Linked DNA regions of Mus musculus: regions 2, 3, 4, 5, 6 and 7 are each reported to be linked to region 1. The links are microRNA targets in miRTarBase. Many come from high-throughput screens and were not tested one by one. Region 1 holds a microRNA gene; each other region holds the end of a gene's coding sequence.

The links. Region 1 holds the annotated microRNA mmu-miR-19b-3p (UGUGCAAAUCCAUGCAAAACUGA, at 2,355-2,377, shown strand). A microRNA usually pairs through its seed, bases 2 to 8, with sites in the 3' UTR of a target mRNA and lowers its output. Matches are read on the target gene's strand: a 7mer-m8 pairs with bases 2 to 8, a 7mer-A1 pairs with bases 2 to 7 and ends in A, and an 8mer does both.
Region 2: miRTarBase lists Caprin1 as a target of mmu-miR-19b-3p. Seed matches in the 3' UTR shown: 7mer-A1 at 3,525-3,531.
Region 3: the mRNA of Sntb2 is a reported target of mmu-miR-19b-3p. Seed matches in the 3' UTR shown: 7mer-A1 at 1,023-1,029.
Region 4: miRTarBase lists Mtmr12 as a target of mmu-miR-19b-3p. The part of its 3' UTR that is shown has no 7-base or 8-base seed match.
Region 5: the mRNA of Msantd4 is a reported target of mmu-miR-19b-3p. The part of its 3' UTR that is shown has no 7-base or 8-base seed match.
Region 6: the mRNA of Fam20b is a reported target of mmu-miR-19b-3p. Seed matches in the 3' UTR shown: 7mer-A1 at 1,602-1,608 and 7mer-m8 at 1,093-1,099.
Region 7: the mRNA of Pank1 is a reported target of mmu-miR-19b-3p. The part of its 3' UTR that is shown has no 7-base or 8-base seed match.

The regions. Positions count from the first base shown.
Region 1 is chrX:52,739,596-52,744,367 of GRCm38, reverse strand. Mir19b-2 (microRNA 19b-2) reads left to right here and starts at 2,302; the gene lies at 2,302-2,385. Mir363 (microRNA 363) reads left to right here and starts at 2,601; the gene lies at 2,601-2,675. Mir92-2 (microRNA 92-2) reads left to right here and starts at 2,440; the gene lies at 2,440-2,530. Mir20b (microRNA 20b) reads left to right here and starts at 2,176; the gene lies at 2,176-2,255. It also overlaps Mir18b, Mir106a and Kis2.
Region 2 is chr2:103,763,040-103,767,811 of GRCm38, forward strand. It overlaps Caprin1 (cell cycle associated protein 1), which reads right to left. Exons shown (of 19, transcript NM_016739.3): 19 at 1-3,824. The coding sequence ends at 3,760. Among named protein-coding and RNA genes, the nearest start is that of Nat10, 4.2 kb to the left of the region's middle.
Region 3 is chr8:107,010,935-107,013,934 of GRCm38, forward strand. Sntb2 (syntrophin, basic 2) reads left to right here. Exons shown (of 7, transcript NM_009229.5): 7 at 358-3,000. The coding sequence ends at 450. Among named protein-coding and RNA genes, the nearest start is that of Gm22085, 2.8 kb to the left of the region's middle.
Region 4 is chr15:12,267,845-12,272,616 of GRCm38, reverse strand. It overlaps Mtmr12 (myotubularin related protein 12), which reads right to left. Exons shown (of 16, transcript NM_172958.4): 16 at 377-3,115. The coding sequence ends at 2,546. Among named protein-coding and RNA genes, the nearest start is that of Gm52210, 50 kb to the left of the region's middle.
Region 5 is chr9:4,384,302-4,389,073 of GRCm38, forward strand. It overlaps Msantd4 (Myb/SANT-like DNA-binding domain containing 4 with coiled-coils), which reads left to right. Exons shown (of 3, transcript NM_145609.2): 3 at 438-2,589. The coding sequence ends at 1,013. Among named protein-coding and RNA genes, the nearest start is that of Msantd4, 10 kb to the left of the region's middle.
Region 6 is chr1:156,678,198-156,682,969 of GRCm38, forward strand. Fam20b (family with sequence similarity 20, member B) reads right to left here. Exons shown (of 8, transcript NM_145413.4): 8 at 374-3,445. The coding sequence ends at 3,214. Among named protein-coding and RNA genes, the nearest start is that of Tor3a, 6.2 kb to the left of the region's middle.
Region 7 is chr19:34,808,824-34,813,595 of GRCm38, reverse strand. Pank1 (pantothenate kinase 1) reads left to right here. Exons shown (of 7, transcript NM_001114339.2): 7 at 1,209-4,772. The coding sequence ends at 1,268. Among named protein-coding and RNA genes, the nearest start is that of Mir107, 9.6 kb to the left of the region's middle.

The DNA.
Region 1 (4,772 bases):
GCAGCGGGATGGTCGCGCGCGCCACCTGCCAGGGCGGGTCACTGGCAGATCCCCTACGCGCTTGTTCTGGATGACTGGACCAGGAGATGCGTACCTCCGCGGGCGCAGCTGTGATCCCAGAGAGTTAACTAAGGTGGGAGGGGATGGAGCTGGCAAGACTTGAGAAAAGCAAAGTACCTGAGTGTAGTTGAGGGGTGCCAGGCAACTCGTGAGAAAAGGACTCTCCCTTGTTGCTCTGAAGGTTTCTGGAGAACTTGTGGGTGGTCAAATGCCAGGGTGCACGTGGGGTGTGGGGCGGGAGGACTCCCGACCTACCTTGGTTTCCCTCCCACCAACCCGAGAATGGAGGGAGAGGCTTAAGCTTGGCGCGTTTTGGGGGCTTTGAATGGAGAACTCCGTTTCCCATAATGCTTTGTTTCTTTCTGTTTAATTTTGGTGGCCGCTAAGGTGTCTTGAAGACCTAAGCGCGTGGCATGACTGGCTGGAGCACACCCTGCGTTCCCAGGAGGTTCACAGATCTCTACTGGAGCCGCTGCTGAAGATGCGGGAATAGACCAGAGAAAATCCCGAAATGGTAAAAGACTGGGTCCTCTTTGCAATTTTAGAAGTTGTACAGCGACTTTCTAGTATATATGATGGAGAGCAGATGTGTTAAAGAAAGGTATTAGCTAGAAGGAGCTTTCTCTGGAGGGCTGAGGTATGGTTTTGCGAAGTTGAGTCAGGTTTTGTAATATATTTTTAGTGGAGGCAAAAATCTCTAGTTGTAGGAACCCAGTTCAAGAAGAAAAGTATAATAAGCCAATACTTGCACTATAGGAAGCAGATTTCATATTTACTTCAAAAGTTTTGCTAATTTATATTTAAAATGTTTTAAGAACTATCTTAGTCACTAAGTGGCTTCGAAAAGTTCCAACATTTAAAATATCCTTTCTCATTGAACACATTTCAAGTTTTGTGTCCCTGAAGTTTATTGGTGTCCCCCCATCAACACAAACATTCCATCATGGGAGGGAGGGAGCTCGTGACCCCTCAGACTGTCCTCTGCAGCATTTTCCTGGGTAAGATACACACTTGGAAATGAGAGAGGTTTTTCCTGTGGAAGATAATGACATGAAGCCAAAGAGCTAATCTGACTTCTTTAGGTTTAATGGAGAAAATGGGTCCATAAATGTTTAAACAGAAGTAGAGCCCTTTGAAATAGATGAAAATGTGACATCTCTAGGCCATCTGTGCGGTATGTGAAGAGTGTAAAACTGTTTCTTAAAGCGGCTCTGAAATTTCTATCATTTTCTCTTAATGGGCTGGGGGCAGGGATGCTTCATGTAATCAAACATAGAGACCTTCCGAGTGGCTCCCCAAAGCTCTGGATGAGCTCAAGACGTCAGTACTCACCCTAATGTTATTTATTTATTTTTTTGCTTACATCTTTTCCTGGGCTCTTGCCTCTTAGAAAACCATGGTGGATATTACAGCTCTGCAAATTTTCTGGGATGCGAATCTCAAATTTCCTTAGACGGAGAGGGAGTCCAAAATCCTCTTACTCTTAAGAGTCAGACATTCTGAGATTGCCAGTGTTATTCATGTTTAAGTCTGTGTAAATAATTGAGCTTATTAATGTTTGAAGTAACACAACCCCATTTGCACTCTTAACGGAAGGCAAACTTGTTTTAGAAATAGTAACTCACAGTTCACTTACTTGCTGTGTGTGTGTGTGTGTGTTTATCCAGGTGAGTCTGCAGATCTGGCAAAGAAGAGTTCGTGGAAGACTTCAAGGTTACACTCCTGGAGTATGCCTTGGCCATGTCAAAGTGCTAACAGTGCAGGTAGCTTTTTGAGTTCTACTGCAGTGCCAGCACTTCTTACATTACCATGGTGATTTAATCAGAGGCCGCTGAGTCCCCTGGTTTCTGCATAGTTAGATTGTGGATGTTTTTGAGCTGCTCCTTGTAATGTGTCTCTTGTGTTAAGGTGCATCTAGTGCTGTTAGTGAAGCAGCTTACAATCTACTGCCCTAAATGCCCCTTCTCGCACAGGCTACTTCTTACCTTGCATTTGAAAAGCATATCTTGAGAAATGATTTGAACGGCACAAGTTTCAAAGGCTCTTTCAGTGTTTCGCCGAGAAACAGATGGCGGAGACTGTAGTATACAGTTGTGTAGAAGAACAAGCTCGGATCCTAGTAGTGCCAAAGTGCTCATAGTGCAGGTAGTTTTTATACCACTCTACTGCAGTGTGAGCACTTCTAGTACTCCTGGATCAACCAAGGTCTTGTTGAAGCAACTACAGCGCAAGGACATTGCTACTTACGATTAGTTTTGCAGATTTGCAGTTCAGCGTATATGTGAATATATGGCTGTGCAAATCCATGCAAAACTGATTGTGGGAATGTGTACCTTTCTGCATCGTAATGGACACCTTTATGCACATCTTCAGCATCCATGCCCATTCATCCACAGGTGGGGATTGGTGGCATTACTTGTGTTAGATATAAAGTATTGCACTTGTCCCGGCCTGAGGAAGAAAGAGGGTTTTTAATCGTCTTTTAGTTTCTGAGTATTGTAAGTTATGTTAGACTGTAATTATGAAATGAACTGTTTTGCTGTTATCAGGTGGAACACGATGCAATTTTGGTTGGTGTAATAGGAGGAAAATTGCACGGTATCCATCTGTAAACCGCAGGACCTATGTGGACAGCCGTCTATCAGTGCTATAGTAAGATTGTAAAATCCTTTAGCTAGTCATTGCTTTGAACACATTTGGAGTGGATTTTTTTTTTTTTTTTTTGGTTTTTCAAGACAGAGTTTCTCTGTATAGCCCTGGCTGTCCTGGAACTCACTCAGGGTGGCCTCGAACTCAGAAATCTGCCTGCCTCTGCCTCCCAAGTGCTGGGATCAAAGGCGTGCGCCACCACGCCCAGCTTGGAGTCTAATTTTTTAAAACTACATATTTTTAAATATATTTGAAATCCTGACATTTTGATTGCACTGAATGTAAACAAACCTGAAATTTGCAAAATAAAGCTGATATATAAGTCTGAAAAAAAATGGGTTTCTTTTTTCTTTTTTAAAAGATTCTATTTATTTATTTATTTATTTATTTATTATATGACAAGTACACTGTAGCTGTCTCCATAGACACCAGAAGGTGGCATCAGACCCCATTCCAGATGGTTGTGAGCCACCATGTGGTTGCTGGGATTTGAACTCAGTACCGCTGGAAGAGCAGTCAGTGCTCTTAACCACTGAGCCATCTCTCCAGCCTGGGGCTCTCTTTTTTTTCTCTCTTTTTTTTTATTAGGTATTTTCCTCGTTTACATTTCCAATGCTATCCCAAAAGTCCCCCATACCCACCCACCCCCACTCCCCTACCCACCCACTCCCCCTTTTTGGCCCTGGCGTTCCCCTGTACTGGGGCATATAAAGTTTGCAAGTCCAAAGGGCCTCTCTTTCCAGTGATGGCTGACTAGGCCATCTTTTGATACATATGCAGCTAGAGACAAGAGCTCCGGGGTACTGGTTAGTTCATATTGTTGTTCCACCTATAGGGTTGCAGATCCCTTTAGCTCCTTGGGTACTTTCTCTAGCTCCTCCATTGGGGACCCTGTGATCCATCCAATAGCTGACTGTGATCATCCACTTCTGTGTTTGCTAGGCCCCAGCATAGTCTCACAAGAGACAGCTATATCTGGGTCCTTTCAGGAAAATCTTGCTAGTGTATGCAATGGTGTCAGCGTTTGGAAGCTGATTATGGGATGGATCCCTGGATATGGCAATGGCTCTCTTTTTAAATTAGCAATACTATTGGCTTTTCTAAAATAGCGTCTTGGTATGTAGCTCTGGTTAGCTTGGAACTCAATTTGTAAACTAGGCTAGCCTTGAACTTGCGGAGATCTGTGTGTTTCTGCTTCTAGAATGCTGAGATTAAAGGTAGGCACCCCTCCACTCCTAGACTTCCAGCATTTACATACATTTATCTATCTATCTATCTATCTATCTATCTATCTATCTATCTATCTATCTATCTACTTATTTAGTGTGTGTGTCATGTGGTGATTTGAGAACAACTGTAGGGAGCTAGTCATGTGGGTCATGGACATACATCTTAGATTTCTTAGGCCCGATGGCAAGTGCCCTTCCCCCACTGAGCTGAAAACAAATTTTATAGGGTATGTCTTGAAGGAACATTTGAATATAACTGGAATTTAAGTTTGCGTTGAGTCTTTGGTTTTATCACTACTGAAAACCCTGCCAGTCCCATCTCCAGAGAGTGACTGTCATCAGGTGAGCCCTCAGGATTTGCCTTTGTAACCCAGTCTCAGGTGCTGATGGTGCTCGCCCAAAGAACTATAGGTTAAAAAAAAAAAAACGCCCGGTTCTATTTTAAGTTTCAAATTCATAAAGTTGAAAGGACTCAGGCACATTTTTTACCCCACTTTCTCATTCTGTTTCATGTGTTAATGTTAACACTGCCCTGTCTTTGGTAAGTGGAAAAACTAGGTAGGTATGTGTTGGTTTTACCTATCTGAACATTGAGTTCTCATCAGAAGGGAGAGGTATCACTATGTGTCATTCTTTGTGCCTTGGAATTTCCCAACTTTGAAAGCCTTTTATTACTTTTTGGGGACCTCATTACATAGGTTCAATTTAGTTAGAATTTTTTTACTGAATTATACTTCACCTTTGAGCTAGTTCCCTAAGCTTCCATTTCATTAGGGAAAATACAGTGATAACATTGGTCCTACACCAGTGAGGTGGGGCTTCTGTTCTCCTTGG
Region 2 (4,772 bases), not on the chromosome of region 1:
CTTCCAAATGTTGAGACAAAAACTAAACATGGAAGAAAACTGCCCTATCCAGTTTCCCCAGACAGATCTTGCTAATGCTTAAACAAAACAGGAGTCACTGGAATACAGGTCTCTTGACTCTTTTATCCAGTTTGCCACTCCTCACTCATCCTTATGTCAGCTGAATTATCTTTCAATCAAGTCTTTCCAGATCATACCGACTAAGTCATATATTTATCATTAACCACACAGTTGAACCATGCCACTTACTACACACATCTGGGGTCACTCCAGTGTCTTGAGGGGTAATTTTTTCACCACTGAATAGTTAACACTGGCCATAATGCCAAGCAAGAGATACCCAAATGTGCTAATAAATTTCAGGTTGTCTCGCTAAAGAGATATAGTATTTAGAGGAAATTAAGACTTACAAATAAATATACCAAAACCTGACTTTAAGTTTTAAGTACATCAGGGATACTGCTATTTTCAATGCCAACGGTGAAGGATCAAGGCTATGCAGGAAACTGCTCAAGCTTCACAACAGACTATTAATGTACAGTGCTAACATACAGTAGTCTAGCTTTGTTCTTAAAAAGACCAGACCCAGAATTGTTTCTTCTCTCTTCAAGGAGCACTTAAGGAGTTTTCCTTAGGGTGTATGCAACTCACAGGCTTTGCTATAAACAATCACATTTTCATATAATTTAATCTAATGAAATATACAACAGTTTCTAAGTTTTTCCAGAATGTATATAAATTCAAAATAGTAAAGGCAAAGCTTAATTTACTTTTTCTGTTAACTTATACTCGATAAAACTAAAGTACTTAATAGCTCAAGTCGGATGGATGCAGGTTGAGAGCTTAAGGTTGAAATGAAGGGTATGATCAGCCTAAGCTACAATACCCTATTTCCTTAAGTAGATGAAAATTTAACAAAACAAATTGCCTGGCACATATATGAAGCTGCTTAACTACATTCTGCACTTAGAAACTGGTTGTCTGCCAAGCACCTTAGTGAATGAACCTGAGAATAAGCATGCATCTCCATGTCTCCTTGAAGTCTCTATACAATAGCATATATATGAATACATATAGAGACAAAAGAACTATAGAAGTTAATTTACTACAATCATTGGAAGGTCATGTTTTTAATATCAAGATACAATGATCAAAAGAGGAGAAAGGATGAAAAAAAATCATCTTTTTAGGAATATTAAGGCCCTGGTAATAAAATGGCCCTAAGCAAAAAGTCATCAATGGCATGCTACCTGGGGGAGGGGGGGGCATTATACACGTGGTATCTAAACATACTGTGAATTGTGCATGTACAAAAGATTTTATAGTCTTACTACACTAAGAGACATGTAGGACCATCAGTTCCCTGTACTCTGGTAAAATACACACTTGACCAAACAAAAGGTCTTCTGCCTCTAGACAAGCATTTGCATATTATAGAAGATACTGAGTAACAAAGACTCAGATCTTAAGGAAAAGACTTTAGCAGTTCTCTGTCCAGTGAGGTTGCTTTTAAAACAGTCTTGAATGCAGACGTTAAAACTCACTAGAACTGCAATGGTAGAATGACAGCTAATGATATGTTGCTGTTGAAAGGAATAAGCAACTTAAAAAATAAACAAGTCAAACTACAAACAACTTTTACACCTTCTGCCCTACACTTTGGGTAGAAGCCCGAAACGTGAGACATTCCCTGAATTCACTTCAGAACTCAAATTCAATACTAAACTTATTTTCTTCAATTTTGCTTTCTTACTATCATAAAATTATATTCTACACACGTAACACACCATCTAGGGATTATCCAATAAACCACAAACATTTTATCCATCCCAATAAAATACAATTAACATATGGTTGTGGTACATCCCAGGTAGTTGTCTTTTAAAGCACACAAGTGTAGGTGCTGGCAAAATAGTCTTGGCAAAAGTAAACAGATAACCCTTCCAATATGATGTACCATAACCACACATGAGAAAAGTCAAGAACTTATTTTATTTATTTTAAAATAAACATTGAAGCTTCCCCATTATCCACCACCCTACAAAACTTTTGAATGTGGAATGTTCAACAGCCTCAGCAGTTTTAGTAGGCTACAAAACCAGCAAAAACTCCAGTTGTCTAATGATGAATATCTGAGAATTGTTTTGAGTAGCTGATACCGGCTTGGAAAAAAAAAAAAAAAGTTTACAAAAGGCTAAAAGTAAAATTTAATTTCTGTACAGAAAATAACATTAACTTAGCCTTTGTGTTACCAAGTGGAATTATTTCTCCATGACATAAAATGGAATGGGACAAGCAGCATTCAGTTCATAGGCACGCAGAGCTAGTGCTCAAACTGCTAGCACAAATTCCAACACAGAACATATGGCTAAGTCACTGCTAACCTTTCCATCTCCAAACTGTCTACTCTCTATGCACCTAAGGCAAAGAATCAACACTTTGAACATAAGTGTCTCCTTGAGGAAAGGAGAGAATTCAAACAGGGTTAAATTTGACAAAAGATAAATGAAAATACTTCAGAAACAGCTACTAGACATAACCAAAGGCTGTGACACTAGCAATGCATGGGTTGAATTACTTTAGCTGCTAGCTGTTGAACACCAGTGTTTCAAGATACAACTTTTAGAAACATGTTTTTATTTGTTTTGCCATCAGAACTGAAACTACTGCCTGTCATTTCCCTAAAACAGGGAAATGAATCTAAAACACATACCGGTGCTTTTCTAAAGATAGCAATTTAAAAGGGTGGTAGCAGCAGGCATTTGATATCTTTTTCTTTAAGAACTTTCAGGCTGCAGGAGAAAACATGTGACCAAAAGTGTTATGATTATCCATCCATTAGCGATTTCCATCAGTACCTATTACCAATTTGAGTAACAATACAGCAAGATCCAAGGATTAGTGATGACAATGCAATTATGGTGAGGAATGACAAACAGGACCAATCCCCATGTAAGTCATTGTTCAGAGAAACTGTTAAGTGTTCCAAAGGTATCTAAATAGTTCACATTGAGCACAGCAGCAGCCCATCCAGATTATCCCCCATATTTGATGCATATTTTCCAGAAGAGCCAATCAAAGCCTGATTTGCAATTTGGCTTTGTCTTACACAGTATCCACTACTAAAGAGCAATTTACATGTGTTTTAATCACAGTCGTTTGGCCAGAAGACTAGTGAGTGCTATGTCAAGGCTGGTAGCCAGCCTCACTTGTGTGAGTAAGGACCCATGCATAATTTGGTATGCTTTTAATCTGTCGGTGCTCCAATTTAATGGGAAAGCTATGAAATGCAGTTTTGCTAAACCACACTCCACTCCTTCCATCTTCCTTTCAAAGAAAATGCTTTAACTTTGTCAATTACCACTGAATAGTTCTAGGGCTGATTGTAGATTTTATCCAAGGTCAAAAATTCAATCTTGCATTTTTTTTCCAAGCCACTTCAACTAACTATGGAGATATTATCACCCCATAAGTATATAATGTTTTACTCCTAAGCAAGGGTGAGGAATCTGAGTATTGTATTGTGTGCAAGGCTCAAGATGACGCTTAGGACAGAACATGCAGAATAAAAATAGTTTCCTTCCATATCCAGGTAATGTAAAGCTGACAATTGCAGTCCTGTCTTTATGGGATGAAAACAGTCCCTTTACAATAAGTTTCCTGAAAGGGAGAACAAATAGATAATAACTCTTCTGGTAACATATTATGGTACACTGGCCAGTGTGTTTTTGGCGATTAAACATAATCCTGTGTATCACATTAATTCACTTGCTGAGTGTTCATTTGCGGCATCCCTCTGTTGGGTCTTGGGGGCCCTCCACGACCTAGAAGACAAAAATGGCATTTGATTTTTCTTTCAAGTATTATTTGTTTTGCCTTCAAGCAGACTTTCATCTGAAGTCAAGAAGCATGTGGGCAGCTTGTCAGCACATTATTAGGCTTAAGAGGCCAATTCTTCAGTGTTCAAGTTTCACCTGTCCTTGGAGTTGTCATGTGCAAATTTGCTCATGTTCTCTAGGCTAAAAGAAGAGTAGAGCTAATGGGAGTATTCCACCAGTACTCATTCATTCATTCATTCAACAAGTATTTATTGAGTGCCTACTATGTGCCAGGCACTGTCATGAGGCGTTGGGAATAGATACAGCAGTGAAGACAAACAAGGTACCTGCTCTCATGGAGCTCACATTCTAAGGTACACGCTAGCTTACATTTCAATAGGAAGTGACATCATACTATCAAAATTAATAAAAAGCACCAGAATGAAAACAGACCTTTGTACCTAAACTGTTAAAAAGAAACTACAGAACATTCAAAATTGTATAATGACTTGTAACAGTTAAAATAACTTTTTACATGCTGTTGAAACAGATATTTTAGCTATCATTTAACTCAACTTTCATAGAATATGCTACAAGGTGGGATAGAAGAACATAACCCACATTCACATGCAAATACCTTTGATACTTCAGTATTTTTCCCAGATGACCCATTAACCTTTTGCTTTAAAGTACTTTCTTAATGATCAATTGCCACTAGCATTCAAATTAAAGTACTTTATAATTCCTCCTTAATATACATTTTATACATGTCATGGCCAGCCAAAAACTGTAAGAAACCTAATTCTTTAACCTCCTTCAATAAGAGAACCATTTAGAACATCAGATTACATGAAATGCTACCTGTAATTGTTCAACAAATTAACTATCTGCCCATGTAAGAAATTATTTTTCATTACTTGAAAAACAAATGAAACTAAAGCCTCTTAAGCTTGT
Region 3 (3,000 bases), not on the chromosome of region 1:
CTCCCAAGTGCTGGGATCAAAGGCGTAAGCCACCACGCCCGTCTAAGATTGCTTTTTAAAAGCAAAACAAAACAAAAGTGAAACATCACATCTAAATGTATTTAATACCATTGTTTATAAAGTGTGTGTAGAACTAGAGAGATGGCTTAGCAGTTAAGAGCACTGGCTGCTCTTCTAGAGGACCTAGGTTCAATTCCCAGCATGGATATGGCAGATCACAATGCCTCTAACTCAGATTCCTGTGGATCTGACTCCCTCACACAGATATATATGTAGGACAAACACCAGATGTACATGAAAGAAAGAAAGGAAAGGAGAGAGAGAATTACAGTGACAACTCATGTTTCTTCTCCACAGACTATGGACCTGCATTCTTGTCCAAAGCCGATTGTATTTGTATTGCACACGTTCTTATCCGCCAAAGTCACTCGCATGGGACTGCTTGTGTGAGCAGCAAGAGTGAAGAAAGAGCTTTGACTGTCACAAGAAGTATTTCCACCTCAAAAGATGAAAAGAAAGAAAAAGCAACAACAAAGAAGCACAAACAGAAGCCCTTGCTCCTGCCTCCATCACAGTGCCTTCCTGAGGACCTGCAGACCACTGCTGGACCACAACAGGGTTTTAGGAAGGGCCGACCTTTCCCACACAGCCTTGGTCAGAAATTCTAGAACTGTTATAAGCTCCAAATGAAAGCTATTGATTTACCGTCTTATTTCATAATGTGATCTCAAGTAATCAGGTTTCTTTTCCCTGTTATGAAGTCTGGCACTTTGGGTTTCTCTTTGGACATAAACAGATAGCCAAAAGGGGCTCTTCTTTTCTTTGTGTAGGAATCATTTGGGTATAGCCTTGAGCTCTTCCTGGGATGACTGTCGCTCTCCGGTGCTAGTGTGCAGCTGCCGTCCCTCAGGCACATCCCACACAGGTCCTTGCACCACAGTGACCCCGCCCTGTCCCACCCTCCCCACCTCTATCTGGCACCAGCTCTGCCACCCATAAGTGCTGCCTTTAGGACTCAGAACTTGCACAGTCTGGTTGCCTTTGCCTTCACTCCCCTTTTTTGTGGTGTCCAAGTTGAAAAGCAAGTTGGAAATGCTGCCCGGAAAGAGGAGTGTTGCTTTCTTTAGTTTATATTGAGTTTATATTTGGTAGGAGCCAGGGGATGGTCTACAGTTTATTTTGAAAGATCCTCATCTTACGCTAAGCCATTTCTTATTGCTTACCAAATGTGCCTTTGGGTAGGGTCAGTGGAGCTTTATTAGTGACTGTGGGATGACCGGGTCTCACTGCTGTTCCTGGGATCCCAGCTGGCTTTCAGGAGTTGTCCTTGAGGTCAGTTCCTTAGTGGCATCTTTTGGTGGTGGTTTTGTGGGTCACGTTAGCTTTGTAGCACAGATGCCGTTTTGAGTGACACAGAGCACGGGGGCTAGGAGAGGTCCTGGCACTGGTCTTTTGTGGCCCCAAAGTAGTAAGGACAAGTCGCCTCCAGCTCAAGGTTAACGTTGGTTTCCTAGCGCCCCCTGGGTGGCTGGGACGATGAGAGCGAGACCATGGTAGTCACCTGCATTTTGTTCAGCACGGCCACATGTTGTCATGACTCAGGGTAAGTGTGACCTGGAAGACCATCCTGTTTGTTTCTCCTGAAACACTCTACATAAAACCTCAAGATTAGCACAGCTCCCGAATCTGAACAAAAAGGAAATATTAATATCTGATATCTTCTAGAGGTTTTCTAACCTCTCTGAAAACATGTCTAGAAACAGCTCTCATGTTCTAGATTTCTCTGGAGTGCTACACAGGGATATGGCTCTTCAAATGGGGTAGAGGGTGAAAGGGAAGAAAACATAAGTATTTGTGCAGAGCCTGAGCTGCCTTGATTGGCAGGGTAGCCAGAGGAAAGAGCAGACGCCAAGCAGAGGTGTCACCCTGCTGTCCTCCGCTGTCAGTGAGTCAGGCCTCCTGCTCTGCAGTCAGACTAACAGTACCCAGAGGCTGGGGAGAAAGTCTTAACCCTGAGATAGGTTCCATCCCTGATACATCTTCAACTCAAAAGAAAAAGAAGAAATGTCCCAGCTCTGAGTGCAGAAAGCAGAGCTATAGCAGTAAGAGAGCTCTGGCTCCTGCCCCACTGAGCTGCGGGTGTGAAAGGCGGAGACACCAGGGAGACTGACAGGAGCCTCTGCCCCCTGTTCCTTAGAAGAGCTGTAAGTGGGTAAGCTGTGCTCTTCTTCTGGCTGAGGCCTGTGGCCCACAGGGTTTTTAATACTGTCATTTGAGGCTTATAAAATGAAGGCTTATGGGTGATTTTGTTGTCATTAGGAGCACCAAGAGCAAGGTCCTAAGCTGCTTGTTCCAGAAGCTGTAGCAGCCCCAACCCCCGCAGGTGGTCAGTTAGGAATTTTAAACCACAAGTGGAATGCTTTTTGTGAGTGTGGGACACCTTGATACAAACCTATATTATCAATTTTGTACTCAAAAGCCAAAATATAGCAAACTATTTTCAAATGATAACTAAAAATGGGCATCTTTGATAATTCACCTCTTTTTATAGAATCAGCTATATTGTCTTTAATTTTTCATCTTGAACATTATTGGGGATGTTGTGGGCTCCTGGGTGTGAGTGGGCAGGAAACTGTGGAGCGCCTCCTGTTGGATGGGCCACTTCCTAGGCATCTGTGCATTCCACACAGTCCCAGGTCATCCTGCAGATGAGAGCTCTCCTCCCCATAAGAAAGAGGACTAAAGGAAGCTCATGTTACCAACAAGCCTTGCCTAGAAATTGGTATCAAATATTTTATATAAAGAAATGCTTGTGTGTATATGCCATATTTATTAATAATTGTAACTAAAGTCACTGACCTATAGACAGTACCAGGTTAAATATTGGGATATGTATGGGCAATCAGAAATGTTACTTTAAATGCCATCTGCCTATTTTGAGGCCATGTTTGGCACTTTTTAGACTAGGGTAAGTCTGATAATACCTGGTGGGGTTTTGTC
Region 4 (4,772 bases), not on the chromosome of region 1:
AGACAATTTAAAGGGGTCAGTTCTTTCTGTTGGGTCCTGGGGACTGAACTAGGGCCCTAAGACTTGGTGGCAAGTTCCTGTACCTGCTGAGCCATCTATCTCATCAACCCTCTTCAGAGCATCTTATTATCATTTGGAATTTTGAGTATTTGTCTGGATGCTGGTTGCCTATCACCAGCCAACCACACGAGTGTTCATACATGCATATACGCAGAGGATAGGAAAGGGTGGAGGTGTGGGGGTTCCTGGAAAGCACAGCTTTGTGCTTCCCTGGGCTCTGCCTGCTGTGGGGCCTGCCAGAACCCAGGACACGTTTATCAAGTCCTGAACGAATGAGGAGGATAAACTAGGAGCAGACCGTGCACACCAACCATGGCGCTGTTTCAAAGTTGTGCTTTAATCTCTGCAGTCAGCTCCAATGCAGTGAGACATGTATAAACTTTCATTAACACCCAGAAAATAAACTGCACAGTGAAGCTGACTCAGTCTAATAGCTTAATCCCTTAAATTTTTAAAATTTAATTAAAGCTAGTTTATCTTCAGTGTAAAAACATAGAGGTATAAACAAATGCAAGTGTTATACACAGTAAATTATTAACAGACACTTCCAAACTTGCACAGTGTGTTTTAAACAAATGGTCTTATTGTATCTTTTAATGTTAAGCATAATCCACATCTCAATCTTGAATAAAAATACACAATATATAAACCCACGGGAAGTTCTGTACACAAATCCAAGTTATAGAAATCTGGCTTCAAATATAAATACATAAGTCATAACCACACAGGTCATAACAGCTTATTTACTTTTTCTATTGTGATTTAAAAAAATAGAAAAATATTTTAATGCACATTCAACTGCTATACCAAGGGTCATGACCATGTGCCTTTAAACCATACGTTGTGAAGTACAAAACATCACAAGAGGCATTTTTTGGAAAGAAAATCACTAAGACTGTAGAGTCTACCATATAAACATTCACGTTATAATATGGTAACAAAAATAGTTCTCTCCGCTGAGGACTTGGGAGGCAGAGGCTGAGGGTGTGGCAGAGGCTCAGGGCGTGGCGGTTAGTGCTAGTTTAGAGAAGCCCAAGGAGCCCAGGGAGAGGGAGCTAAGGACTGGTGTGTTCTAAGTTCCTAGCGCAAGCCTAGCACGAACCTGGCCTGAAAGACTCTTAAGGCAACCGAGACTGAGTGCATTTGTCCCCAGAAACACAAATCCTGACCTCCCCTCAACTTGCTGGGTCAACACACCAACCCGGATTGTGCATTATTATGGAGGGAGACGAGGAAAAATTATCATTATGTATGAAAGATGATTCAGTGCAATCAGAAAGGATTCTTTGTGAAGTTTCAAAATGTCTTATTGCCCATGAGCAACAGAGACGCCCTCAACAGGACCTCTCCTGACCAGCAAATATAGATAAAAGGCAAACACTTGAGGCAGACTCAATGAGGTCCCTCGCCCACTCCCACTCTTCACACCGTTTGTGGGACTGAACAGGGCTCTGTTGAGAATGATAGGACTGAGCCTTACAAAGGATTCTTTCAAACATTAAAAAAATATATATCTTTAAGACAGCAGATCCAAGGTGACTAGGCAGAGCTGGGTTTCTTCTATGGCTTTTGACATCGCTGAGGCATATATGAGTGATAACTGCTTCTGACACGACCGCTTTCCTGTGAAAGCCACATTCGAATTGGCCTGCCCACCCCAGCATCTGTGAGGGTAACGGGGAAGGCAAGGGGACCAGCTGAGGGGCTGCAGAGAGGCACAGTCCAGGTGTGGTGAGCAGAGGGCCAAATGTGTGGTCAAAACTGAGGGCTCCAGGAATGAGCTCCCCTGTGGAAGACAGAGGACTGCCCCCAGTTTAATCAACAGGTCACAGCAGCAGGACCCTGGGACGATGCACACCAAGGTAGACTCATAGGATGGTATGCATAGAGCAGGAAAAGGGAAGGTGGGAGTGACAGCAAAGGAAAAGGGAAGGAGGCTGCCCGCATCCTGTGTTGTTACAGCCCAGGAAGGAGGGGCTGAACATTAGGATGGATGACACCAGCAGAACTGTCCAAGTTCTCTATGGGCTGCGTGTGTGTGTGTGTGTGTGTGTGTGTGTGTGTGTGTGTGTGTACACGCACGCATTGGAATATGCTATGGTTTAAGTCAAGGAATATGCTATGGTCTAAGCACATCCCTGAATACCTCTTGTTCGGAATGGCTACATAATTATCTTGGCACAGAAACAACAGGAGGGAGCTCTCACAGCAGCCTGGCCGTGAGCCATTCTGTATACATATAATACAGATGTCAGGAGACGACCCCATCCTATGACAGGTCAAGGAGGAACTCCGTCCTATGCATACTAGAGGCATGGCTTTCATTGAATGTCTTCCAGAACTGTGGAAGAAAAGGAGAACAAGCTCTCTTCCCAAAAGCCTCTGCTCTTTCCTTCACACCACTGGGCTAACACCGTGACACCAGTCCAGGGAACAACTGTCCCACCATACAGTGTGCCTCTTTCACAGTCCCTGAGGAGACAGGTCACACGTCCCCTAGGTCCACAAACTCATCTTCTCGTTTGGCCAGGTCATCTTCGCCTCCTAAAGCTTTCCAGCCACTGGTGGGTAAGACAGGCTTGGCCGAATGTCGCTGGAGCAGTGCAAAGGGGAACAAGGAAGACAGGCGGACTGAGTTCCTGAGCAGGCCGGGTGCCTCTGCATGGACAGCCTCCTGCCTGTGGTGTCTTGCCTCTATCTTCTCCTGCAAGCTCTGCACTTCCTCCATCATCTCTAAGAGTTTGCCCATGGTGGCCACTCTGCCACCACCCAGGATTTGGGCTTCTGGAATCCAACGTAAATAGCGCTGAGCCCACACCTTGATTTCCGGCCCCTCAATGTGAGGCAACAACAGGCCGTGGTAGTCTGTGGGCTTGCTATGCCAGCTGTCGTAGAACTCCCTTGAGCTGTCCTGGAGGTCATCGGAAGAGTTAATAAGTTTACTAATTCTCTTGCCTAGGAGGTTCTTGATTAAATGATCTGTTTCTTCCCTGAAAAATCCTCTTTTGGGAGATGACTTAGACTGGGTAAGTGGCAAAGAAAGTTGTCGTTGATGCTTTGGAAGAAAACACAAAAGAATATCTGGTTAGGAGGCAAAGTCACAGTTATTTTCATTAAAATAATAATAATGATGATAATAATAATTAATATAATGAGCATCACCATCCTGCTATGAGCAGTGTTGAGAGACCTAAGAACTGCCATCTCATGTGTATCTATTCAAATACACAGTGCACAGGAGAGACTGCCTGCTTATGGTGGCAGTGAGTGATCTGTGTGATACACCATCAACAAACAAGAGAAACCTGACATACGTGGGGCTGCACACAAGGCATGCTGGGATAGACTGGTCCTTCAGAGAAGGGTACAAATAGACACAAAGTACTTTGCAGGAACCAGTTTAACACATGCTAGTGATTAAGGGCAGTCTTGGGGGCTTTTTGAGACACAGTTCTGCTATGTCGTAGCCTTGGTCAGCCTGGAACCCTCGGTCTACTGTGGAGAGCACTCTGGTCAGGAGGAATCCTTCTGCTTCTGCCTTCCAGTCACTGGCGGTACAGGGGTGTGCCACCACTCCGGGCACTGCTTGGTTTGTTTTTTGTTTTTTTTGAGAGCTCTTCTCTACAGCCTCTTCTGCACATCTTCAAGGCATCAGCACTGACTACCTGAAGATATCATCCCAGGGACAAAATAACCTTTTAGCTTATCAGGCACTCAGTGGAGTTCTAGCTGAAGTCATGTCTCTCTTGAACAAGGGCAATCAATAGAGAAATGCGCTCACTTGGCTAGACAGTCTTGTCTGACAGGCTGCTCAGAGCAGGAAACATGGGAGCATTTAAGTTTTGTTCCTGCTTGCTAACTTTCTCTGGAATAAAGTTAGGTATTACATTCTGGGTACACTGTGAGAGGGTTATGAAGACAGGTCAGAGGTTGTGGGGACTCATCAATGTTCAAAGGAAAAGGCACAAATGCAGGAAGAGGAATCTTACAGGAGAGCAGTGGCTGATGCCCATAACTCCATGCTTGGGAGGCTGAGACCAGACACAGCCAGGAGCTTAGGGCTAGCTTGGATTACACAGGGAGTTTTCATGTGAGCCTTGCAATGTTGCTCACCCCCACCCTGCCTCATTTACACAGCCTGCAATCCTGCCCTCTGGCTTGAATCTTCCCTCCCAACCTCTTCTGGAGCTGACATTACCTGCCATTGTCTCTAAGAAGAGACAGTGAGGACATCAGATAAGGGGTGCCTAGCTGTCCGAGCAGCTCCTTGCCCCACAGGTACCAGTCAGTTCTGTGACTCTAGCCCACTCTCTAGAGGACAAGCAGGCTGCCACCAGGGGGCACAGCACACCACAGAAAAGCACATCTTTGCATAAGATGCAGCAAGCAATCTTGCTCTACCAACAGAAAAGGTTAGCATCCTGGGCCTGAGGACAGCTAAGAAGGTGACATGACAGGTCTAGTGCCCAGCAGCTGACACTGTCTCCAAGTGCTGGCCATGGCTCACCTGCATCCAGTCTTTCTTAGACTAGAACCTCGTTCCACGCCTGAACCGGTAGGGCTCCCAGAGGCCTCGAGAATCAGGCAGAACAGCAGTGGGAAAGCTAATGACACGCACAGGTGTAGACCTGCCAGCGCTATGGGCTCTGAGAGCCTAAGGGATCTGAGAGAGATTCCAGGCCAGCTGACAGAATGCAGACCAGGGATGCTGT
Region 5 (4,772 bases), not on the chromosome of region 1:
GTAGTGACATTGGGTACTTTAAATCATTTTAATAGTTGAGATTAAGAACTTTTTTGTGCTCAAACAGCCTAGAAAGGCCATCAAACAATCTTGAGACAGGTCTGGGGAGAAGGTTCAGTGTGTAAATGGCACAAACCTGACATTTCTGCAACTTCCCTTCAAAGCTGACTGCTGTGGCATGCATCTGTAACAGCAACACTGCTATGACAGACCTAGGAGAATAGCCCTGAAGCCTCCAGTCTGCTAGCTTCAAGCTTGCCTCATGGGAAACAAGAAAAACCCTACTTTGCGCAATGGCCCACATTCTCCTGCACTTACATATACATGTACACAAATAAGCAAGAAATGAAATAATAGTAATTAAAAGACCAGTAATGGAGCAAACTGATAATGACGAAAGCAAATACTAAATTCGCGTTTTTTTTCTTTTCTGTCAGTTTGAGATTGAGGAGGAGGAAGAGATGCTGTCATCTGTCATACCAGATTCCAGGAGGGAAAACGAGCTCCCTGACTTCCCTCACATTGATGAGTTTTTCACCCTCAATTCCACACCATCCAGACCCACCTATGATGAGCCCCATCTGCTCATGAACATAGAGAAACAGAAGCTGGAGCTGGAAAAACGCCGACTTGATATTGAGGCGGAAAGGCTGCAGGTGGAAAAGGAGCGGCTGCAGATAGAGAAAGAGCGCCTGCGCCACCTGGACCTGGAGCACGAGCGCTTACAGCTGGAGAAGGAGAGGCTGCAGATCGAGAGAGAAAAGTGGAGGCTGCAGCTGGTCAGCACCGAGAAACCGGCTCTAGAGAACGAGCTGGGCCAGGGCGAGAAGTCCATGCTGCAGCCACAGGACATCGAAGCAGAGAAGCTGAAACTTGAGCGCGAACGTCTACAGCTGGAAAAAGATCGGCTGCAATTTTTGAAGTTTGAATCAGAGAAGCTGCAGATAGAAAAGGAGCGCTTGCAGGTGGAGAAGGAGAGACTGCGGATTCAGAAAGAAGGGCATTTGCCTTGACTGTTCTTGTTCCTGGGCTTAGCAAACAATGAGGAATTGTAGCTTTCCCCCTCAGTTCATGCAAAGGTGGTCCTGGATTAGCTACCCCATCACCACCCCTGTTTAATGTCAGTGTTTTTAGTAGGAAAAAGATAGGAATACATTGGTAGCTGTGTGCTGCAGTAGTGTACTATATAAATGCTCTGCCCAACACAAACAGAATAGCAGAGGATCTGATAGGCACTTCCACATTAGTAATACTGCATAGAGCCCTGTCTTATTTGTGCACCCCAAGTTTACAATGATGTCTGTAGTAAAGTTTCTATCCAGTGATTCTCCAGTGGAGTTTGGGCTCCCAGAAGACATTTGGGACTATGGGATGTTATTTGGTGGTCAAAGTAAATGGGTGTAGGATGCTACCAGCCTCAGGAGAGGCTTCACCATGTTTAGCATAGTTGTCTTCACAAGAAAGAATTACCCAGTCCAAGATGTCATTAGTGCCAAGTTTGAAAAACTGTACACTTGGCCTAACTGTGCATCTTTATAGCTATGTTCTATAGTTTTAGAATATTAAAACTTTAGATATTTATGTGGTTAGATACTTAAACGGCCAAAACCATTTTAACTGTGAGACATTACTATGTAGTATGTTGAATATAGGGAGTGGTGGAGATTGTAGGTCCGTTATTCAAATGGTATTTTCTATCAATAGACTGAGACTTAGAAACCTGGGAGCATCTGAGATTGTTTAAAATGTGTCATTTTGAAAGGCAGTTGCCTTCAAGAATCAACACATGACTGGAAAGCTTTAGTTCTCCCTTCTTTGAAGCTGTTGTCATAGTTTTTATACAGAACTAACCATTTCAGTCATGTACTGAAATGTTATGTAAGAGAATGATAGAAGCTAGTAAAAATGGTACCAGTGCCAAAAAGGTAACAGAAATCCATGATGTGGAACCCAATGAATTGTCGATTGATTTCTAAGTGAAGAATAGTCATTTGAGACTGAGAGATGGGGGAAATATCCTCTGCATCAGTGACAGTGGTGTTGAAATGATAGTAGTAACTGTGTTATTGTTAGGGAAGATCTTGCTTAACTTAAAATCTACAGGAGTCTGTGAAAAGGTACCTTCTGACTCCAGAATCTGAAATTCAGAGAAATCCTGCAGAAAGTAAACGGCTGATACTTTATATAGCATTGTGTTTTTATCTTTACCCCTTCAGGATGGCTAAACCTGGGAATTCTAAATGCAAAGGGCAGACTTCGCCTGCTGATTTGCCCACAGTGTCCTGATTGTGGTTTATTTCAGTAGTGTACTTTCTCATGCACAACAAAGTTGCAAGTGGTTGCACGAATTCACTTTGTGTTTTCTGTTTTCTGGGGCTGATAGCTTTAATACAACACTTCTGTTGACACACTATCTTGATTCTGTATTCTTTGTTAATTTAAGAATGGCTAGAAACCATGATTGAATATAGGTATGCAAAGGGAAATTATACACATGATTACTTACTCTGATTTTGACATAGTGTTATTTTTTTATAATTCTATTAAATACTTCTACCTTAGAAATAAATTTTCCTGTCTGAAAGTTTATCATTCAGAGTTATATGTTATTTAGCATGAGAGAAAACAATACTAGAAGTGGGTTAGGAAACCTATGTGCTAAATTTTGAACTACACACTAGACATACAATTTATATCTACTCCATCCCCTTTTAAATTGAAATTTTTTTCATTCAGTATATTTTGATCACAGCTTCCCCTTCCCTCTCTCTTTTTTTTTCCCATTTTTTATTAGGTATTTAGCTCATTTACATTTCCAGTGCTATACCAAAAGTCCCCCATACCCACCCACCCCCACTCTCCTACCCACCCACTCCCCCTTTTTGGCCCTGGCGTTCCCCTGTACTGGGGCATATAAAGTTTGCGTGTCCAATGGGCCTCTCTTTCTAGTGATGGCCTACTAAGCCATCTTTTGATACATATGCAGCTAGAGTCAAGAGCTCCGGGGTACTGGTTAGTTCATAATGTTGTTCCACCCATAGGGTTGCAGATCCCTTTAGCTCCTTGGATACTTTCTCTAGCTCCTCCATTGGGAGCCCTGTGATCCATCCATTAGCTGACTGTGAGCATCCACTTCTGTGTTTGCTAGGCCCCGGCATAGTCTCACAAGAGACAGCTACATCTGGGTCCTTTCAATAAAACCTTGCTAGTGTATGCAATGGTGTCAGCATTTGGATGCTGATTATGGGGTGGATCCCTGGATATGGCAGTCTCTACATGGTCCATCCTTTCATCTCAGCTCCAAACTTTGTCTCTGTAACTCCTTCCATGGGTGTTTTTTTCCCAATTCTAAGGAGGGGCATAGTGTCCACATTTCAGTCTTCATTCCTCTTGAGTTTCATGTGTTTAGCAAATTGTATCTTATATCTTGGGTATCCTAGGTTTGGGGCTAATATCCACTTATCAGTGAGTACATATTGTGTGAGTTCCTTTGTGAATGTGTTACCTCACTCAGGATGATGTGATTGCCATTCGGTATTCCTCAGGTGAGAATTTTTTGTTCAGTTCTGAGCCCCATTTTTTAATGGGGTTATTTGATTTTCTGAAGTCCACCTTCTTGAGTTCTTTATATATATTGGATATTAGTCCCCTATCTGATTTAGGATAGGTAAAGATCCTTTCCCAATCTGTTGGTGGTCTTTTTGTCCTATTGACAGTGTCTTTTGCCTTGCAGAAGCTTTGGAGTTTGATTAGGTCCCATTTGTCAATTCTCGATCTTACAGTACAAGCCATTGCTGTTCTGTCCAGGAATTTTTCCCCTGTGCCCATATCTTCAAGGCTTTCCCCATTTTCTCCTCTATAAGTTTCAGTGTCTCTGGTTTTATGTGAAGTTCCTTGATCCACTTAGATTTGACCTTAGTACAAGGAGATAAGTATGGATCGATTCGCATTCTTCTACACAATAACAACCAGTTGTGCCAGCACCAATTGTTGAAAATGCTGTCTTTCTTTCACTGGATGGTTTTAGCTCCCTTGTCGAAGATCAAGTGACCATAGGTGTGTGGGTTCATTTCTGGGTCTTCAATTCTATTCCATTGGTCTACTTGTCTGTCTCTATACCAGTACCATGCAGTTTTTATCACAATTGCTCTGTAGTAAAGCTTTAGGTCAGGCATGGTGATTCCACCAGAGGTTCTTTTATCCTTGAGAAGAGTTTTTGCTATCCTAGGTTTTTTGTTATTCCAGATGAATTTGCAGATTGCTCCTTCTAATTCGTTGAAGAATTGAGTTGGAATTTTGATGGGGATTGCATTGAATCTGTAGATTGCTTTTGGCAAGATAGCCATTTTTACAATGTTAATCCTGCCAATCCATGAGCATGGGAGATCTTTCCATCTTCTGAGATCTTCTTTAATTTCTTTCTTCAGAGATTTGAAGTTTTTATCATACAGATCTTTCACTTCCTTAGTTAGAGTCACGCCAAGATATTTTATATTATTTGAGACTATTGAGAAGGGTGTTGTTTCCCTAATTTCTTTCTCAGCCTGTTTATTCTTTGTGTAGAGAAAGGCCATTGACTTGTTTGAGTTTATTTTATATCCAGCTACTTCACCGAAGCTGTTTATCAGGTTTAGGAGTTCTCTCGTGGAATTTTTAGGGTCACTTATATATACTATCATATCATCTGCAAAAAGTGATATTTTGACTTCATCTTTTCCAATTTGTATCCCCTTGATCTCCTTTTGTTGTCGAATTGCTCTGGCTGGGACTTC
Region 6 (4,772 bases), not on the chromosome of region 1:
GTTAGGACTCATAATTCCTCATCTCCAAGAAGCTACAAGGAAGAAGGAAACTACTGAACATCCAGGAAACACTAGCAGCTAGTCCTGTGACTAGTCCCGTGACGACTAGTCCTATGACTAGTCCTAGGACGACTTGTAGGTAACAGGTACAATCTATGTGGGCCGTTCAAAAGCTCGTAAGGAAGTCTAAGGCTCTCAACCACAGGAAGCAGTCCCTATGGAAGGTTAAGCAGAAATAAAGGATGTAACATTCTCTCCCTAAAAAACAGCAGTAGGAATAGAAATGGCATAGAAAGCATGGGGTTGGGGGTGGGGGGAGATTAACCAGAAGACATTATACAATAATATATATTAAAATCTTTTATTTTTTTTTCAGAATTGAAACCCATAGAACACATTAGAAATCTTACCAAGTACAACCTCTATCTGCACATAAGCTCCAAGAGGAAATCCAAGGCAGATCAAACAAGGGTGGTGATGCCCACACCACCCTTTAGACAAATAAATTAGCTTCCCAGGAAGTTGCTCCCAGCTTCCCCCAGGAGTTTATGAGGACCACCTTAGGTCCTAAGAACCAGTGACAGCAGTGTCAGCCCGTTCACCACCCAGACTAGAGAAAGAAGGGGAGAAGAGCCTCCCCCACGGAGTGTGTCACCTGCTAGCAGGCTGCTCGGCTATGCGCGATGCACATTCTAACCTTACTAGCCAAGTCCTTTCTCGGTGCAGCCACTCAGTACTTCCTTGTGTCAAAGCAAGAACATTTTCCCACGTTAACCCAAACCTCCACCTCCTATCCTGAAACCCTGACCACAGGACTCACGGGAGTGTGCCGACAGCAGGTGCTATGATCACAAGATAATCAGAGATCCAGGAAGGAAAGGGAAGGGAGGCTGAAGGAACAGGAAGCAGGGGATAAGAAGACAAAGTGTGATAGCTTTAAAGAAAATGTGAGTTTCTTTGGATGGCAATGCTGTCTTCAGCACTGGGGAAACCGAGAAACTGTCAGGGTCCACTTTGCTGAATAACCTATAATGAACACACACCTGAATTTCTGTTTTCTTCTAAAAATTTAGTCTGACACTTTAACCCTGAGTGCAAACAGGGAGACATACCTTAAAAAATACCAAACCTCTTCAGCAAATCAGAGCCTGTTGTTTTAAAGGTGAGTTACTTATAGCTCTCCCCGAAGTACAATGAAGCCTTAGATGACTAAACAGTTTGAGAATAAAAATTCTATATTCAAATCTCTCCCATCTCAACTTCAGAACACATATACTTAAGAAGTGAAAGCAAAGGAGGAAAGAGCAATGGATTCGGAGTTCCTGGTTTTGTATTAAATGCCTCCATCTCTGTGGATGTTCAATCAGTAAAGCTAATTTGGAGCCCACCAGAATCCCCCAGTGCCTTGGATGTAATAGTCCTAATCTAGTAAATGACCCAAAAAGAGGCCGGCGTTACAATACTTACTGCCCGAGTGTGAAACACAGTGTGAGGCGGCTTTTCTCTAACTGCTCGGAGCAGCTTTCCTGCCTGTTCTTTTCCGCAGAAAACATGACGAGTACGGCTGCTTGCCTGGGAACAATCCCTACTCACTTCACCAGTGTGCAATGGAATGCTGAGCCACAGCTTAGTCAGCACGGAAGTCCACCACTCTGCTGGCTCCCAGCATAAAGTGCTAATAACCATGCTAATCTCAGAATTCAACTGAATTTTCTTGATGTACACAGCAAGTAGCCTGGAAACTGGACTTAATACCTCCTTTTGTTTTTGCTTTATTTTTTGGGTTTGGTCCTAGAACTTACTCTGTAGACCAGGCTGGCCTTGAACTCACAGAGATCTGACTGCCTCTACCTCCCAAATGCCAGGATTAAAGGTGTGCGTGTCACCACTGCCTGGCTCAATATCTCCTTTTGTTAACACTATTTTAGTGTTTTGTGCTAATATTTGTTTTCTGAAGTTCAATATCCCGAGTTTAAAAAAAGAAATATGCAGTATATTCCTTAATCTACCGCAAAGTGTACATTAAATGTACAAGTTTCCTAATTTCAAGCCATTTAAAAGTGGTTACAGGCTACTAGATTTGAATGTGAGAGACTAGGGGGTATAAACTCAATCTCCCCAGTCTCGAGGCTCAGAGGCTTAAAAGCTTTCACTGTTACCTGCAGGGTGCAGTCACCGGCACAGACAAGGTCACCACTGTCCTAGGAAGAGCGCCATTACAGGCCAGTTACTCACAGGGTATGACTTCACGAGAGAAGAGAGAGCTGGGCATGTTGGTTCATACCTATAATCCTAGCATGTGGAAGGCTAAGGCCAGTTCAAAGCCTGGGCTATACAGTAAGCTCCAGATCAGCCTGGGCTAGAGTCTATGGTCTACCTCAAAATGAACAATGCCAAAGAGAGAAAAAGAAAAAGCGTGGGGGGCAGGTGGCAGAGAGCACAGTTTCAGTGTTTTTGGGCAAAGGTGGACATGGGGTAAGTTAGTGTCCATAGAGGATCATGCCTGGGTTGTAATACTCTTTCCTCTAGAGATGATTGTGGTTAATATGAACACAACCGGGGGATGACTAATTTGCTCTGGACATATCTGAGAACCTAAACAGAGGGGAAGCTGTCTTTCACTAAGTCAATTATCTTCCTGGTTCTAAAGAGTGAGTCCCTCCCTCTTCTCTTCCCTGAGATGTCAAATCCATGCCACCCAATAGCTTAGAGTCCCAAGACCTTTCCGCCTTTCCCCTCCTCCAATCTCCCTTAAACACGGCCCCCGGTGCGGACCGCTATCCTGTCTAACGCCGCTCTGGAGGAACAGTATGGTTTCAATCTGACTAGTTCTGGTTTTTGTTTTTGTGTTTTTTTAAGACACAAGGAACTGCAAAGTATTTTCAGAGAATCCATGGGTGTAGAGAAAAGACAGCAAGGGTCACCCGAGACGCACACTCTGGAAACACTTCCTTAGCCAATGTCACACCTGCTCGCCCTTTGGTGTGGGAATAAAGACTGAGCAGAGCTGCTGCTGGCCGCCTGAGAGGTGAGGCAGCCTAACTGTGGTCCGTAGCTTGCACTGCAGAAAACACCGAGCACTCCCAGGGCCGCCACCGTCTTCTGCCACCAGCACCCACTGTGGCCACCTGCAGACCATCGCATGCCATTTGGAATTGATTGTGCTGTTTCTCTATCTTTGTAAAATCAGTTCCACTTGTTTTGCGTTGAGAATTACAAGTGGGAGAGTGGCATCCTGTCTTCCACCAGCACAGTATCCGTCCCAAACTGGTCAGTACACTGCTTGATGGTGGCCAAGACATTCAGAAGCCGCTGGTCCACAGTGTCCAAGTGTGGATCGGAGAGCACAGGGGAGATGGGGTCATGGGCCATGGCAGATTTTAAGGCAGACTTTAGTACTCCATTCTTTAGATAATTCAGTCTATTCCAGGTTGAAACCCGAATGCTGGAAGAAAAAGTTTAAAAAAGAAATTACATAACATCTTAATATTCAATTCATGCTATGAAAGGTTTTTGTTTGTCTGTTTCTTTGAATCGCCTCTATTTCAGACTTGCTTGTATATTAGAAGCAAGCTGTACTGCCATGGTATAAACTGGGGGAGGAGGGTGTAATTATATACATGAAAATGTATACATATTCCTAACAGTAAGAGAAAAACCAAGCCGATCTAAATGTCTAACAACTGAGAGATACTTCAAATTATGCCTAAGCTCTCAGGAAATACCACGAAGCCATTAAAAAGGTTTGAAATTGAGTGGCACAGGGAAAAGCCCATGATATTATGTTAGACTTGAGGAAGTTAGAAAGACTCTTTTATTCCTTGCCCTGGGGAAACTACAGTGTGTAACTAGAGTGCTGAGACTACAGGATTAGAGTGAGGTGCACTGTGCTAACAGTTACCCTTAGGTATTAGGGGGACTCTAACTTCATTACTCAAATGTTTCTGAACTTTAAAAATTCTACCATTAATAAAAGAAGAACAGTTACTTAAAGAATATCTATTTTTTGTTGTTGTTGGGTGTGGTGGCACATGCCTTTAATCCCAGCATTTGGGAGGCAGAGGCAGGCGGACCTTTGACTACTGAGCAAGTTCCAGGTCAGACTGGACTACATAGAGAAACCTTGTCCCAAAACTCTTCCACCCCCACCCCACCCCCACACACTCCAAACCAAAAGGAAGGAAGGAAGGAAGGAAGGAAGGAAGGAAGGAAGGAAGGAAGGAAGGAAGGAAGGAAGGAAGGAAGGACAACAAACACTTACCAACCAACCAAAACACAGAGACTACTTTCTTGGGATGGGATGGGGTGGGGATGGGGATGGCTCGGCAAAGAAGAACATCTGTTGGTCTTGGAGAGGACCTGAGTTCAGTTCTCAGAACTCACTCTGAATGCCTTCTTCTGGCTTCTGTAAGCACTGCACTCAGGAGCAGAGTCCCACAGACAGACAGGCAGGCAGGCAGGCAGGCAGGCAGGCAGGCAGGCAAGGAGGCAGGCACGCACCCACACACATACACACACTTAAATTTTTTTTTTTTTAATGTTTTTCTTCCCCCTTCCCTTCTTCCTTTTGCTCTGGCCCGCTCCCCCTATCCCATCTCTGGCCTCCTGAGTGTTCCAGCCCATAGGTTTTTTTATTTTTTTTTAATTTTTTTTTATTTTTTTTTTAAAGATTTATTTATTATTATATGTAAGTACACTGTAGCTGTCTTCAGACACTCCAGAAGAGGGAGTCAGATCTTACAGATGGTTTTGAGCCACCATGTGGTTGCTGG
Region 7 (4,772 bases), not on the chromosome of region 1:
ATTGCTTTTTAAACTTGGTATTTATTACCCTACCCACCCCACCTGCCAAAATGTCATGTATATAATGGAAGTTTTCTTAGCCAACAGTGGAGATTTGAAGACTGTTACTGAAATGAAAAGAAAATGTCACTTGGAAATAATAATACCAACAACAGCAATAATAATAAACAATGATAACAAATGACTATAGGAAACAGTATGGGAAATTTCTTAGAAAAACCCAAAGTTAGAATTCAATGACCCAGTAGCAGCACTTCTGTGTGGTTATCCAACACGTGTGAAGTCAGTAGGAGCTGTCCCTGTGATTGACAGTGATTTACACTTAAATGTAAAGTGCTTGGAAAAATTTCTAACATGTGATAAGAATTCAGAAACTGCCTTAAAGGTCCTGACTGATCCACGCCATCTCTAAGGTAACTGCTGAGGCAGGCAAAACAGGAGCTGTGTCTCCCTAGCCCTTTGGGCACCAGGTAGCTAGTGGACTCAATGTTTGTATGCCATCCCTTCATACACTAAAATCCTAATCCCCAAGATGACAGTGTCAGTAGGTGAGACCTTGGGGAGGAGACTAGGTCACCAGGGCTGAGTTCTACAAAGGAATGAGTGCCTTTATAAAAGAGGCACTCTCTGCTGTGCCAGTTCACGGTGACGACCGAGTCTGCCAGGAGCCTGGCTTTCACAAACACCTTGACTTTGGACTGCCCTGCATCCAAAAAGCTATGAGATGAAGTCATAGTGTTTATTTATTTTATAAGCCACTCAGAGTGTGGTATTTTGTTACATATAGCAAGCCAATGACTAAGACGCTATTTCCTAATATAGCTGAGTTTTAGAAACCTTCATTATCAGAAATATGAGCTTTTGTTTTATAAGAAGGCAGTGCCAGATACAGTCCTAAGCACTTTTCTATATTAATATAGATAAATATACATTCAGACTAGTGATAGTTATTTGATTACTTGGTCTTGAGTTTTTTTTTTTTTTATCCAAGAGATCAGTGTTTGTTTTGTGTTTAGGGAGATCAACTGTGTAGACTTGCTTGTGCTAAACACAGGCCTTGCCTCTAACCCATATCTCCTGTCATGAGTTCCGTTTCTAATGTTATAGATCTGTAAAGTGCAGGGCAGCCTTCCTAGAACTAATGAACGCAATAGTTCTTTGGTTACGGTTCAGGAACAACCCTACAGGAGTTCTCCGTGTTTTTGCAGGGTTATTTTGGAGCTGTTGGGGCCCTGTTGGAACTGTTCAAAATGACCGATACACAGTAGAGGAACAGCCCCTCGTGCGGACAGAGGACTGACGGGCCTTGCCAGAGAAGGTGACATCTCCGTGGGGCAGAAACCAAGCCACTATGGTGGATGAACCTGCTGTATTTGTAAATAACCTAAAATCCTAGACCTTTTGCTCTTAGCTTTCAAGCTTATGATACAAAATGGGGAATATAAGAATTTTTTCTGTATACTGTATTTTTAAAAAAAAAAAAAACAAGAAATTGTGCAGCGTGGCCAAACCTAACCAATTTCATGCATTAACTTTGAAAACTTGTATGATGTTCATTCAGAGGGGCCTGAAATGAAAGCGCTGTCCATTTTTCTTCTGGGGTTTACTGATCAGTGTGGTAATTTTAACTTCATTTAGTAATTACTCTAGGAGATTTTGCCTTTACTTATATTTTTTCATGACGTTTCATGATTTGCTGTTGGTTTCAAATGAAACTACGAATCTGGTATGTTGCACTGTGAACACTTTGTTCTCTCTCTCTCTCTCAAATCTTTTCTGTTGCAATGTCTTAGGACAAAAAAAAAAGAAAAGAAAAGAAAAAAGGATCCCCCCCTTCTGTTTTTGTTCCTCGTGATTTCTCTCTTCTCTGTCTGTATGCTTTTCTCATTGTAATTGCTCCTGTCAATCAAGGTGCTGACCAACTCAACACAAAGTTAAACACATATCTGCAGTTCTAAACATGTGACCCTGTGAGAAGACTTTAAACGAAGGGGTTAATGAAAGTGGCGAACATTGAACATTGTGTGCAGTTTTATCTTTGTCTTCTTACACCCCTCACCACTGTCATGTCCCATCGGATTTACTTTACACTACACTGTAATAGTCTGAGATGACTTGCCCTCATTTGCATATGCCGTATGAAGGGCAGCAAACCCCTGTATAAATTTGGAGGGGCTCCCATAGCTGATCTGATTGATCACCCCAGACTCAGGGCAAAAGTACTGGGTCGAGATATCAGTTAGAAATAATGGTCTGTTTTATATATGTTTGTACCTAGGAAGGGTGTAACGAGATATCCTAAGTAATAATGTTGAAGATTGTTTCTTTTTCTTTTTCTTTTTTTCCTGATTTCTGTTTTAGTATTTAAACTGAGATCGGTACTTTATTTCATTTCTAAAACTTTAATATAATTTATGATACGCTCGCATATATGGACATTTCATCCTGAGAGGTTTTCATTAAGATAGATGGGTCACTTTCAAATGAGGATGTTGTACACACGCCGTAACAGGAGATCTAGTGATCTTTTGGATCAAGGGTTCCCTTCCAAGGGCTTTTTGAAAGGCTACTCCTTGGTCAGTCTTCACCTCTCTACCTTGTGGAGCCCCGCTCTTCATTTCCATATCCTTGAGTCTTGAAGAAGCTGATGCTAATGGAAGAATTCACTTGTCTGGTTTAAATAAAGCCGGTTTGTGTTGGGATGTTCTTAGTGTACATGTTATTTTCATTTCTTATACCTCGTCTGTATATTTATCTGTTTTACATGTAAAGTAACTGTATGTTGATGTTGTGGTCGCTGCTGCTGTTTTCCTTTCTGCTACATAGCTCGTAACATGAGGCTTCCCCACAAGTGTGTGTGTGGGGGGGTCCAAACAGCCTTCAGCTATGGCTGCAGGCCAGCAGAAGGATTTCTAAAAATTGTCCTTTATTGCACTTTTATTATTGACTGCTTAATGCCAAAATACCACTGTGATTTTTGGTGATTCTGAACCAGTTTCAATTTTTTTCTTGTTACAAATACACTGTCAACCTCTACTTAGCTTTAAAAGATTCACTCAACTACAGTGTTCTCGAAAGACATTATCTCTGTATTATCTACCCTAGTGCCTTTTAATGGTCTCTCCTCCCTTCTTTAGTCTTTCAGGGGACAGCAGACCTGAGACCTGAAGGTCGTGGTCCTGCAAAGGAAACCAGGGCAAGTAACTGTGCCTATATGTTTATTAATCATCTGAAATCACTTGGTCTCTCCCTACCAACATCCAGAAGCCTGGAGCTGGGTGTGATGGTGCACATTTGTAATCCCAGCACAAAGGAGGCTAAAATAAGAGTATCAGTGTGAGGTCAAGGCTAGCCTGGGCTATATGGAGTTCCAGGCTAGTCTTCATATGCACCCCACACCACTCCCATCCCACCCCGTTTATTTCTTCCTCCCTCCACCCATCTCAGTTCCTCAGTCTCTTCCTCCCTTTCTTTTCCTCTCCCTCTTTTATTCACACACACACACACACACACACACACACACACACACACACACACACATACACACCACACACCGTTGATATAGATCAACAGTTCTCAGTCTATGAATTGTGAACCTTTTGGGAGTAAATGACACCTTTGGGAGTCAGACAAGTCACTGGGGTAGCGTATCAGATATCCTACATAGCAGATATTTACATTAAGATTTATAATAGTCGCAACATTACAGCTATGAAGTAGCAACAACAAATTTCATGATGAGGGGGAGGGGTCATCACAACATGAGGAGCTGTAATAAAGGGTCACAGCATTAGGAAGCTTGAAAACCACTGGTATAGATGAAGAAATAAATTTTCCATTAAGTTATCAACCCAGAGTGTTGGTTATATAGAGCTAACTTGTTTTTATAATGCCCTCATTGTGTCCTGAAGATTTTTCACACTTTTAAAATGACTTTCCTTAGATTCACCATCACAATGGAATATGACAAGAATTAAAAACAAACAAACAAATAAAAACCTTGTGCTATGTGAATCAGGAGAGTCAGACACTGAGGAGTGTGGCTTGCTATTGTGAAATAGCTCCGGTTCAGATACAGCTTAGACAACGACTAACTGAAAACAAGTTGCCAAAATTCTCTTTAAACTCAAGTTTGCTCACCTGTAAAATACAGCAAATAGTTTTACATTCATGTTTTAATATACATTAAAATGTGTCATCTGTGTTTGTTGTTTTTTTTTTAAGATACTTTAAATCAATGACTTAAATAAGTCATTCCACGCTTTCTCAGTTGTGAAGAGAGACATGGTACAGAAAGAACCCCATGATGGAACGTGACCACAATTCTAAAATCCCACACTCTCAGAGTTTGCCATCATGATCGACTTGGCGGCCAGAGCTGCTTGGGCATTATTATAACAATGAGACGCCTCCAATACTCTGTAGCAGAACTGTTCATGTATGATTTCAGGGCAGTCTTTTGGGGGTGGTAAATGATAAAATGGTTCTGAATTTTATAAAGGATGGGTAGTCTTGAGAATTTCTGTTAAGATCAATCATATGAAGATTATTACAGAGTCACTCCAGGTTACTTAAAAGAGCTGGGGAGGGATTGGAAACCAAGGTGAACAGGATACAACCCCGCTGCCCAGCAGAGTAGACAGCAAGATTGCAAGGCAAAGTGTGTAATGAGACAGAGACATTCATTCTTTCCAAATGCAGCAATAAACGAAGGGAGGTCCCATGCTCACAAACGTTACATTCTAGAAGGAAAAAAATAGGTCCTTATATAA